Oryzias latipes: one gene and its partners. The protein of the gene in region 1 purifies or fractionates together with the protein of each later gene. This does not show direct contact. Links are inferred from orthologs where the notes say so. Each region holds a gene or a part of one and is shown in the gene's direction. Other genes may lie near its edges.

Evidence for each region.
Region 2: the proteins of raf1 (region 1) and A-kinase anchor protein 8-like purify together in Homo sapiens (affinity purification with mass spectrometry; 3 studies listed by BioGRID and IntAct, with this or other methods). This does not show direct contact. The link is inferred for Oryzias latipes from reciprocal best matches to the Homo sapiens genes RAF1 and AKAP8L.
Region 3: the proteins of raf1 (region 1) and calu purify together in Homo sapiens (affinity purification with mass spectrometry; 3 studies listed by BioGRID and IntAct, with this or other methods). This does not show direct contact. The link is inferred for Oryzias latipes from reciprocal best matches to the Homo sapiens genes RAF1 and CALU.

Annotation. Positions count from the first base shown.
Region 1 is NC_019865.2:17,676,308-17,680,059, forward strand, and holds the start of raf1 (RAF proto-oncogene serine/threonine-protein kinase), read left to right. Parts: upstream 1-1,326; 5' UTR 1,327-1,959; intron 1,960-2,260; exon of another isoform or gene 2,261-2,343; intron 2,344-2,418; exon of another isoform or gene 2,419-2,443; intron 2,444-2,487; exon of another isoform or gene 2,488-3,004; intron 3,005-3,752. UniProt on the Homo sapiens protein: Serine/threonine-protein kinase that acts as a regulatory link between the membrane-associated Ras GTPases and the MAPK/ERK cascade, and this critical regulatory link functions as a switch determining cell fate decisions including proliferation, differentiation, apoptosis, survival and oncogenic transformation.
Region 2 is NC_019859.2:24,054,364-24,058,015, reverse strand, and holds part of A-kinase anchor protein 8-like, read left to right. Parts: intron 1-1,144; coding exon 1,145-1,736; intron 1,737-2,304; coding exon 2,305-2,416; intron 2,417-2,496; coding exon 2,497-2,546; intron 2,547-2,633; coding exon 2,634-2,664; intron 2,665-2,746; coding exon 2,747-2,843; intron 2,844-2,986; coding exon 2,987-3,128; intron 3,129-3,652. UniProt on the Homo sapiens protein: Could play a role in constitutive transport element (CTE)-mediated gene expression by association with DHX9. Increases CTE-dependent nuclear unspliced mRNA export.
Region 3 is NC_019864.2:19,378,960-19,382,711, reverse strand, and holds the start of calu (calumenin), read left to right. Parts: upstream 1-1,105; 5' UTR 1,106-1,201; intron 1,202-2,014; 5' UTR 2,015-2,033; coding exon 2,034-2,263; intron 2,264-2,348; coding exon 2,349-2,542; intron 2,543-2,757; coding exon 2,758-2,924; intron 2,925-3,007; coding exon 3,008-3,068; intron 3,069-3,146; coding exon 3,147-3,346; intron 3,347-3,452; coding exon 3,453-3,557; 3' UTR 3,558-3,752. UniProt on the Homo sapiens protein: Involved in regulation of vitamin K-dependent carboxylation of multiple N-terminal glutamate residues. Seems to inhibit gamma-carboxylase GGCX. Binds 7 calcium ions with a low affinity.

The DNA of each region.
Region 1 (3,752 bases):
GCTCACAGCAACAGAAATGCCAGAGGTTGAGGCAGCATGAGCGTCGGCCTAGTCACGTTGATTTTTCTGCGCACTCGCGAGACCGTTGCTGGCTAGCGCACGCGAGCTCAGCTAACCACCTCATGACCAAGAAACGCGGTTCAGTCGACGATCAATCATCGCTGCCCAGTAAAAGGATGCCGATCCGGGGTTATTATCGATAGTTCCTTGCGCTAAGTGTTTTTCCAGGAGTATCAGATTCAATATTGCGTATAAACGAAATTTCCCGCCAGGGCGCACTCACCAAAGTCGTTGTGATGTGCTAACGTTAGCAGGCCGGACTACGAAGCCGATGCTGAGTTAGTGAGAGCAAACAAATTGACAGTAAGCCGTATTCACAACAAAATTAATCAAACGTCTACGCTGGTTGACATTTTGATTCATAAATACAAATGTTGCAAAAGACCTTTAACACCAAACGGTTATAATATCGCAAAGCCGTTTTATTGCTTACCTTTATGGCTACCTAGCTATGTCACTGTTTACGCCTCCTCCTCTGCGCTGCATGCGGTGCAGGCAGGAGTTCCTGAATTGTCATTCACAGTATCCAGTAAAAACTCGCCCTCTGATTGGCTACGTGCTCGCCAAGTAACCAATCACAGACCAAGAAGCCTGGACACCGCCCCTCCAAATAGGCTAATCGTTGAGATGAGACGGTCCATATTTTTCCCTCCTCCGCTAAATTAGTCGTTTTCTCTTCGCTTCATTTCAGACATCTAAAACATCTGGAAGTGCGAGTACCGCCCGTATGCTAGGAAGAACACCAAACATGGCAGCACTTTAAAGTTTAAGAGAAACATAATACAATTGAAGCCAAGCTAAATTCATGTTAAAATTAAGGGGGAAACTCTTTATGTAATTAACACATTTTTAATGTCAACCAATCTGGTTTTGGATCTACATTCATGCAATTTGGAAATTGCATGGAGGTTTGATTTTTAGTGGCTGAATTAAAAAAAATATTTTAACACTTTTTCATTAAAAAAAATTAAAATACATGAGAAATGTGAAAGTAAATAACTGAATAACTCCGATTTTAATAGACTGTAAACAACAGCTGTATTACAATTATCTTTATTCCAAATAAGCCAAATTTAAAGAAATAAAGTAAAAAGACAGATCCTTAAGCTGTTTACTGGAATTAAACTAATAATGGGTCAATTCAACCTATAGTTTATGTCATTGTTTGTTTGTAAAACAATAAACTTTAATATTTCATCAGTCTTCTATTTATTTTTGAGTATTGAAAGGTACACATGTCATAGGAGCTGAAAACATCTCAGCTAACTGTCCTGAGTGCTCTCCTAGATCAATACGTGGAAGAGACGCTTTCACCAGTCTTAAGGTGGATTTGGATGGAAAGCTTTCGTCGTTTGATTTGTCTAATATCTCATTTTTGCATCCTATTAAATCTGATCATGTCTAATAACTTGTAATGGATCGATCTGGATTGTGTAAAATGATGGATTTTATTCAGCGTCACTAAAAACAGAGTTGTGGTTCTGCATATGGGCTGGAGCACCTTAAAAGCCAGCCCCATGACAAAGCCCTGCCCCATCCTCACTGGAACACTGTTTAGTATTTCTGTGTTTCAGTTACTTCTGAGATTGGGTTAGAAAAGCCTGCTGTCGGAGAAGATGGGTGAAATGTGAAGTTACGGATAGTTACAGATGAAAAGTGTTTATTGGGAAAGTATAGAATAAACCTACAGCTTTGTGGCTTTATTGTCTTGGTAAAACTGTGCAAAGAGCTGCTCATGGAGATATCCAGCGCTCAGGACACAACACACTGCCTGGTATGATGATAAAACTCCTTCATTGCTTTGGAGGATACTGGAGCCATCTGGGATAAGGGGACCTCGGAGGATCCTTTCAGGCCAGGACGTCACAGAGATGATGATCACATGGTGAGATAAGTTTGGTATGTTTTCAGAATGATACTGCTTTAAGAATAAATGGACATTACTTGCCAGAAATTATTATGGTTAAAGATCTTACAAAGGTAGAACAAGTAATGACGTGGTTCTTTTGTTCTACTTGGCTAAAATACCAGTTTGTATTGTGATTATTTATATTACATGGCTTCACATTGTGGTTTATTGATATTTTTAGACCAAATATGTCAGTTTTGGCTCAGATTTACTACAAAGAAGCAGATAAATTTCAGGGTTGCAATAACCCGTCTGTGCCACCAGGTGGCGCGCTTGGAAATGTAATGAAATACTTATTAGCCATGAGCGTAAACCAATGAAGACCTCCGGTGTAAGTCCATTAGCTTTTTGCGTTTTCTGAAAGATTTGCAAACGTAAGTAAACATAAATGCGCTTTTGAAGCAAAATAGCCTAAACGAACACTTACTGGGGGATAAGAATGGACGAAATCCGGTGTAAAATATGACTTCACAGGTCTGTATTACAGACAAAACTGTTTCTTTTCAATTATTTACGAATAAAGCCGAAGAAGTGGGAGGACTTCGGCTGGTCCTCCAGCTGCGCAGTCAGCGTGAGCGATGCTTGCAGGTCTTGTTTTGACTGCAAGGTCTAGTTTCAATCCGTGGCGTCGGGCGGACGCACGCCTTCAAATCTAAACAATGTAAATAATGGAGCACTTGCAGAAACTAATGGAGGTTCGACTTTAAAGGTGAATTAAAAAAAATCTCAGTACAGTCTGACTTTTTATGCGAACAACATTTTTGTTCCAATTTAACCACCGGGAGACGAGGAAGAAGGAAAGTTTTCCGTGAAAGAGACTCGCCTGTGACCTTTATATGAATGCAACATTCTCCGGACGCAGAGGATTATTCGACACAACCGAACCGGCGGATACACGTCTCCCCCCGTTTCAGCAGTCCTGACGTTCTCTCCATCTTTTCTTTGAATGCGTTGCAAAAAAAAAATCCTGATGATGTCACCGACGCCACTTTTTCCTGAAGTTATGGCGGAGCCCAAGTTTTTGAACTTCTCTTGGTGAGCACGTACTGGCTGCAGCTTGCAGCATGTCTTGCTTGTGTTTGCTAGCTCGCGCGAGGAGTTAATTTACTTCCACGGAGCGCACGCGGACACAAAAATGGACTCTCGAAACGAAGGGAAACCGAGTACTAGGATAGCTTTGGACTTCACTTATTGGCGAAACGGTTCGCCTCTGAGGGCCTTCAGACTCTAACTGTTGTAACAGGAACTATAAGGCCTCACATAACATCACCGTTACCCACTGGTAGAGTTGCCATGTTAGACACGGTCTTCGTTTAATTCAGCTTTTATTTGTTAATGCTCTGCTACCTTAACACGTTCCCATACGTCATCAAACAGTGCTACGCTGCTGATAAAGTTTTTATCCACACTTCAAACTCAGGGTTTGGAGCTGATTGTTTTCATTGGAGTTTGAGTGGCGTAACCGCCTATAAAATTAAATATGGGGACTGTATTTCACCCCCAAAGTTAAATACTGTCTTGTGGATGGATAAAAGCTCTTGTCCTGCAGAGTACAGTTAAAAAAAAAAACTTTTCTGCATATTAATCATGGCTCCCGTGACAGCTAGCCAGTACTACTTTACAGTAAATATTGCCCTCGGAGACTGCACGTTTTGGGGTAAAACACAATAGAGGTAACTGGAAAAGGGGTTTTTTTTTTTGGGAGGGAGGGTGAAAGTAAACCGGGAAAAACACTACCTGTATGTGTGTATCTATATTTACAACATAAGGCCACAGTGTGCAC
Region 2 (3,652 bases), on another chromosome or scaffold:
GAAATGACTTTGTAGGTCTTTGTTTGCGTTAATACAAACCAATTGAGATTCTCGCTGTCCGTTTTAAATATATGTGAAAAGAGTTATTGAGCCTGGAAGTTCGACTGTAGCAACCTGTTTTTGGTCGCTTCAAAATAGGGCCAGATTCTGCTGCGTTTTATGGCAGTAAAATGTTGTGATCTGTTCATGATATGCAGACTTCTACTAGAGCATTTACCTATAATAATAATCTTAAAATATATATATATAGCGCTTGTCATAATAAAGAGAATAAAATAAATATCCGATCCCTCCGATTCAGCTTGAGTCTAACACTAGGTGATCGGGCCTGATTTCTGATCACATCTCTAATTTCAATAAAGGATGGAATAGAAGCCTTGCTCAAGGGCTGCATTTTAACTTGGCATTTCAGAAAACAGAAGGAAAAACTTCTTTCTGCTATCACTGTTTCTAAGAGCTTTGATGGGGTGATGAGCATTTGTCCTGAAAGCTTAAGCATTATAAAAGGCTTCTTCAGGTGTCATTGTTGAACACATTTCATGGTAAAACACAATGACATCCATCCGTGCCCATGTTGCCCGGTTCATCTTTCAACCAGCTCTCCTCAAGCATTGCTTTTATTTTGCCTTGTGTGCGTTTCCTCACGTTTGTCCCATCCTCCATGTGACCTAACCTATGTTGGCTTTAGGTTGCTCAAGAGCGATGAGTGTACTGGTGCTAGCCCAGTAATGCTTTAGAAAGCCAAAATGTTGATTGAAGGCTGTTGTTTCTGAAATGTCCATATTGTACATCATCAGTTTAGTTTATTTCACCTGATACTCCTATCCTGTGAGTGCTGGGACATGTTCATGTCTGTTCACCGTTCACCAGCCAACCTTTTGAAGATAGAACTTGATTTACATGAATTCCCTCCCTAAGACTTCAATTGTTTCTGTAAATAATGAGGACAACCTTGTATTGCTTCATAAAAACTACAAACAAATCCTTGTTGTAGCTCAGATGTTTGTAATCTGTGGTTATGAACTCTGGAACTCAGAAAAAGCAAAGGAATGAAGAGAAAGAAGTGCAGGTGGAGAAACCCCAAACTGGTTACCCTCCCTTGCTCTTTGCTCTTCTCTGTCAACCCTCTCCCTCCCTCCCGCAGGTTTGACCAGTACGAGTCCTTCGACTCGCGCACATCTGCTCTCCCCTCCCGAGATCTCTACAGATCTGGTGGCAGTAGCTTTGGTTTTGGGGATGTCCGTGGAGACAGCATGCTGTTGAATCAGCAAGGAGGCTCGACCTTCGGAGGGGGAATGGGGCTGGGAGGAGGAGGAGGAGGCTTTGACAGCCCTTCCTCTGCCTATGGTGTCGCCAAAATGCGACAGAATATGAGGGAGTCCTTCGCCAGTGGCCAAGGAGGAGGTTCTGGAGGTGGAGGATGGGTTGGAGCAAACCGACGTTCCCCCAGAAGGGGTGGAAGTGCTGGGGGTCGAGGAGGGTTTGGGGGCCGCAGGTCTGACCCCACTCCATTAGGTGGAGGTTTGCGGGGAAGTGGCAGCGGTGTTCAGTCCCATGGCGGCTACTCTCCAGGAGGTGGTAGAGGAAAGCTCCCATCCCTCCTGTCCAACCGCATGTACCCTGAGAGCGGGGGCTTCCAGGGTTCTGCTGCAGGGCCTCACGACTTTCCTGGGAGGCATTTTGGAGGGGGCCCAAGGGCTGGCCGCCAACGAGGCCGCAAGAGACCCCTCAACAAAGTAAGTAACTCCAGCCAAATGAAACCTCAGACCCCGGGCAGCAATTATCCCCGTTTTCATTCCCTCCTTTTCTTATACCTGAAACAACAGGCAGGTCAGTCTAAACTCCCTGTTCGTGCCCTTTACCATTAAAAACAAAACAGCCAAATAGGTTAAGAACAATATCTGCTGCACTACAGTTCCATTAAGCCCTCGATTTATTTGGGCTGAAATCACCCGTGGAAGTGCAGTTTTTCTGAGTAAAGCTGAAACACTCCATCCTGTTTTGGGTGAATGATTCAAAGAAAATTTCCCCCAAATTTTCTATTTCTCCAGTTTTTATCAGCTTATGATAGTTGGAATGATTTGATATTTTAATCATCAAAGTTAAAAGCATGTCTATTAAAAATTTAGTGCAATATTTAAATAAGAAAATTTATTGAAGTCAAACGCGAATAAAGACTGAAACTTCTTACTGCCAGAGGTTTAGTTCCACGCTCCAGGTTTAACTTTTGAACGTAGAAATGTATGATTTTGAACTGCAAGTTTGATCATTCTAAGTACAAATTTGATTACTACTTTACTGTAGCAGGTGAAACCGCAGGGCAACTTTCAGAAGAAGAGAAAGAATCCAGCAGAAGCTGATGAGCCAGAGTCAAAGATGAACAGGAAAGAGGATGAAGGGACGGAAACGACACCAGGTGCTTTCTTTGATTCGGCAGCTGCACAACCTCATGAAGCAGCGTCCTCACTGTTCTGATGTTCATGTCATCTGTTCCAGCAGAAGAACCAGAAAAAGCTGATGATGACAAAGCAGAGACGGCAGCCGATGTGAGTTGGCAAATAATTCAATGTTTTTTTTATAGCTTAACATTTGTTTTTGTTTTTTAATTACCTGTCTTCTTTTGTTTTTTACAGGAGACGCAACCCACTGAAGGAGAAGATGTCGGTAGGTTTCACACTGCATCCTTGGACTTTTGTTGGCTTGTGTAAAATATTGGGTATTCCTAACGTGCTTTTGTGATGCTCAGCTGCTCCCAAACAGGAGGAAATGACAAAGCCTCATGGAAAACAGAGCCAAGGACAGGAGAAGTCAAAAAACAGGAAGAGAAGAGGATTCTTGGAAAGGTGAGGTGACCCTTAACCTTTGAAATTCATCTGCTGTCCTTATTGATTTTAGAACCATTCTTACCTTTAACAAGTTCTTGGAACAACTTATGGTGGGAATTTAATAAAAGACTATTTTTTGTTGTTTGTATTTGTTCCCTTAGAGTGATGTTTGCATGTTCCGTGTGCAAGTTTCGCTCCTTCTACAAAGCCGATATGGAAGTTCATCTTGAAAGTCGCTTTCACAAGGAGCACTTTAAGTTCCTTTCCAGTCAGCTGTCCAAGCCCACCACAGACTTCTTACAGGTGACGGAGCCTCTTTTTCCTTTTTTAGATTTATTTATTAAAAAAAAAAAGATTTTATGCAGAATTTAAAACAAATATTAGTTCCATTTGACTGCGGACTGACAGTTACTATTCTCAAAAGTTTATCTTTATCGATAAGGAAATGATCAAAAGTGACATAATTATGGTTCCAGATCAACACTTGAACAATGTGTGGAATGTGTGAACCATACCCTGCTGTTGAGTAAAATTACAGACAAAAAAGAATTCTGATAAACCCATGAAAAATGCTTTGAATTAAATAATAATTTTGGCTCCATGGCATCAGCGAGCAGCTCTAGCTGTGGCTCAGAACTGATTTGATGCTAGCACATGCAGATTGTTGAATTCACAGCAAATGAAATGTCAGAAAGAGGGTGGCTATTCGCACATAATTTTCGACATGCGATTTGAGCTTCAGGTGCTGTGCAGAGATCTTGCAGCAGCGCGATTTCAGCTGCGCAGCGCAATTTGGAACCCGTCTGAACCAAACCTCCCAACAGTAC
Region 3 (3,752 bases), on another chromosome or scaffold:
TATTTTTTATAATATTATTTTTGTTTTAGCTCGCACATTTTTCATAGAATGCAATCTATTGTGTAATTTTTTCCCCCAACCTCAGAAAAAAATTGTTTTATTCAATAAACTAGATTTTGTAGTAATGCAAAATATTAACTTGATTTTAGTTTTTATTTTAATTCTTTTTTGTTTGTTGGCTGAATTCATCAAGATTCTCCTGTATAGGAAAGACTTCTATTTTAGATTAGTTTGACTACACAACTTTTTTAAATGCACTGGATAAAACCCCTTTTCTACAGACTGCATGTTATTGGTAGTGTTTCTTGACTGCTGATTGACAAGCAGAGATTAATACTAGTATTGTAGGTATGTTCATTCTATTATTTAAAAAGAAAAGTCAAGTTCTCTTATAATTGGTTTTGTTTTTATTTAACCTTATCTTGTTTAACTTTTATTTTAAAAAGTCCTGCAGAAGTTGTACATTTTATATGTGTTGTCATCAGAGAATATTAGCATTTACATACTTTTTTAAATATTTTTTTTCCAACTTGATTCATAAAGCTTAAAGTCCAATAATAAAAATATTTTAACAAGGACATTTTGTCCACATTTACACTCTTTAGCATTCAAATTATAGACTAACTATCAACATAACATGAGTCACTGAGGACAACAATATGGTAAGTAACTGACATAAAAGGCATTCAACAATTTTACTAAATATTTGGCTGGAAACGTGTAATAAATTAAAAAAATATAATTTTATCATTTGTATCTTTTATGATTTTTTTTATTCCTTTCTTTTTGTTTCTAATTTCTTTCAGTTTTCATTTTATTCTGTCTTGCTGCCTCGTAGCCTAAATGATTATAGAAAGAACTTCATGACAAAATTGGAAAATCCGGATTTATGATAGTTCAATTAATGCCTAATTTGATCATTTTTACATTTCTAGCAGGGGATTCCACTCATGTCAGACGAAATAAAATCGTAGCAGAAGTCTTTATGAATGAACTGGGCTGTTTTGACTTTGAGGACGTGGCGGTTTTCGGCCAATCCAATCAACGTTTCTCGATTGCATTGGACCAATGAGACGGCGACATCACACCCGCCTTCTCGGCGTCTGATTGGTCAGCCCCCTTTTTTTTCACAGGAAGTTCATGGGTGTGTTTCCGAGTAGAGGGTCTAAATTATTACCGACCAACTTCATCAACGACTCAGGTGGGTTTTTGTGGCAAGTTATCGCGTAAAATACATTAGCCAAGGATAGTAGTTGGTCCTTTAGCGAGATTTTATGTTTTAGAAATCATTTTCTGTAATTAAGCCGTTTAATGAAAGACGTGAAAGCGAGAGAAGACATGGTGAAAGTAGCGGAACGTTTATCAATGTCAGCCAGCGTTTGTTTGGTTAGGACAGTGGAAAATAACGGTCCTGCCTGTAAATACATGCTTCAGTGAAGTATAAAAAGACAACAGCAAGTGGATAAATGTCTTTTTTTTCTAATTTAGTCAGTCGGAAATGAGGGTAAAAAACTGAGTTTTGTGTCTATCTAAAAAAGGTTCCTTTAATTTCTAAATAGAACAACCTGTTATATACCTTCATTAATATTTTTTCTAAATGATGTGAAAATGCAATAGTTGCAATTGTTTTAAAACTTTAAATGAAATTAATAATTATTTGAAAAGATCTTTAGTTATTTTTGTAACACTGGAATTTTTATTTTTAGACTCTATAACCCTGTGAAATTTTGATCTTAAGTCTATAAAACATTTTGGGTAGTAAAACTGCACATATCGTATTTTTTCATCTTTACAATTTTGTCATAAAGCTATAATTGATGCAAACTACTTGACTGCTAAGTCAAGCAAATTATCTTTACATCAGCTTGAGCAATAGCTGAATCATGCTTCAGGAACAAGCTCTGTGTCTTTAACATTCATGATATTTAGCAATCATGATTCATCATACAAGTTAAGATGCAAGATGGAGTGACTGAGCCCCCCCCCCCCCCCCCCCCTCCCTCTTAATCCTCAGGTTAAGGCAGCATCCGTTCATGTCTAGGATGGAGCTGCGTCCGCTTGTCATGTGTTTTGCTCTCTGTGTGGTTTATGCCACCAGCAAGCCCACAGAGAAGAAAGACCGTGTTCATCACGACGAACCTTTGAGCAACCTAGAACATGACGATGCTGACAACTTTGACTATGACCATGAGGCTTTTCTGGGACAGGAAGAGGCTAAGAGCTTTGACCAGCTCACACCTGAAGAGAGCAAAGAGAGACTTGGGTGAGCAAATGTCCTCTGCTTCACTTGTATATTCAAAAAAATCCCAATGACTGATTTGATTTCTCTTTTTTTTTTGGATCTGCAGCATGTTGGTAGATCGCATCGACGAAGACAAAGATGGGTATGTGACAGCTGAAGAGATGAAGAGGTGGATCAAGGATGCACAAAAAAGGTGGATCTATGATGACGTGGATCGCCAGTGGAAGAGTCATGACCTTAATGGGGACGGATTCGTGTCCTGGGAAGAGTACAAGAATGCCACATATGGATATGTCCTTGGTATGGTTCTAGACACAGATATTTGATCTACAAAATGTCTTTTAAGTCTCTGTTATCAATTACTCTCTCCTTTTCTTGAATAATGACCTTTCCTGTAGATAAAACACTGAAACACTTAGTGCTTTATTTAGTAAAGAAATTGCTGCCATTTGCTGCATTCCAGGCATATTGAATTCAGTCATTTTAACAGCCTTGTCTTGACTTTTGATCACCAGATGATCAGGATCCTGATGACGGCTTCAGCTACAAACAGATGATGGCTCGGGATGAGAGGAGATTCAAGATGGCCGACCAGGACAATGACATGAAAGCCAACAAAGAGGAGTTTACTGCTTTCCTTCACCCTGAGGAGTATGAGCACATGAAAGATATTGTTGTGTTGGTGAGTTATACACTCAAACGTCAACCTTGTAGCTTTTGCCACAGGCCTTTTCACCGCCAAATTTTTCCAATTTTTTATTTTAGGAAACTATGGAAGACATTGACAAAAATGGCGATGGATTTATTGATCTGGATGAATACATCGGTGAGCTTCTATCATTTTAAAAGATGGTTATTATGATGTAATCACATGGACATCCCTCATAACAATGTTTTGCTTTAGGTGACATGTACAACCAGGATGGTGAAACTACAGAACCTGAGTGGGTGAAGACTGAAAGGGAGCAATTCACTGAATTTAGAGACAAAAATAAAGACGGGAAGATGGACAAAGAGGAAACGAAAGACTGGATCCTGCCCAGTGACTATGACCACGCTGAGGCTGAGGCCAAGCATCTGGTTTATGAGTCGGATGTAGACAAAGTGAGTGCTTAAAATCAGAAATGTGTCTTTGTCTGAAAATTAATGAATGAGGTTTAGTTGTGATACAAGGTTGTTCATGTTTTGTATGTTCCCCCTCCCCAACCAGGATGGCCGTTTGACCAAGGCTGAGATCGTGGACAAGTACGACTTGTTTGTTGGTAGTCAGGCAACCGACTTTGGAGAAGCTCTGACTCGGCACGACGAGTTCTAACGTCCACGTGCCTCCACAGACTGAGAGCTCACGTTGTGTTCAACCAGAGGACTCCATCCACACTTTATGGAGAACCCACGCAGGATCAGCTTGCTTAAACCAGTGCCACGGACAATAATTTATTTTTGCTGAATGTGTCCCATTGTGCACGCACACACGCCAGCGTTGTACTAAAAAGTGCAGATGCTTGGCCAG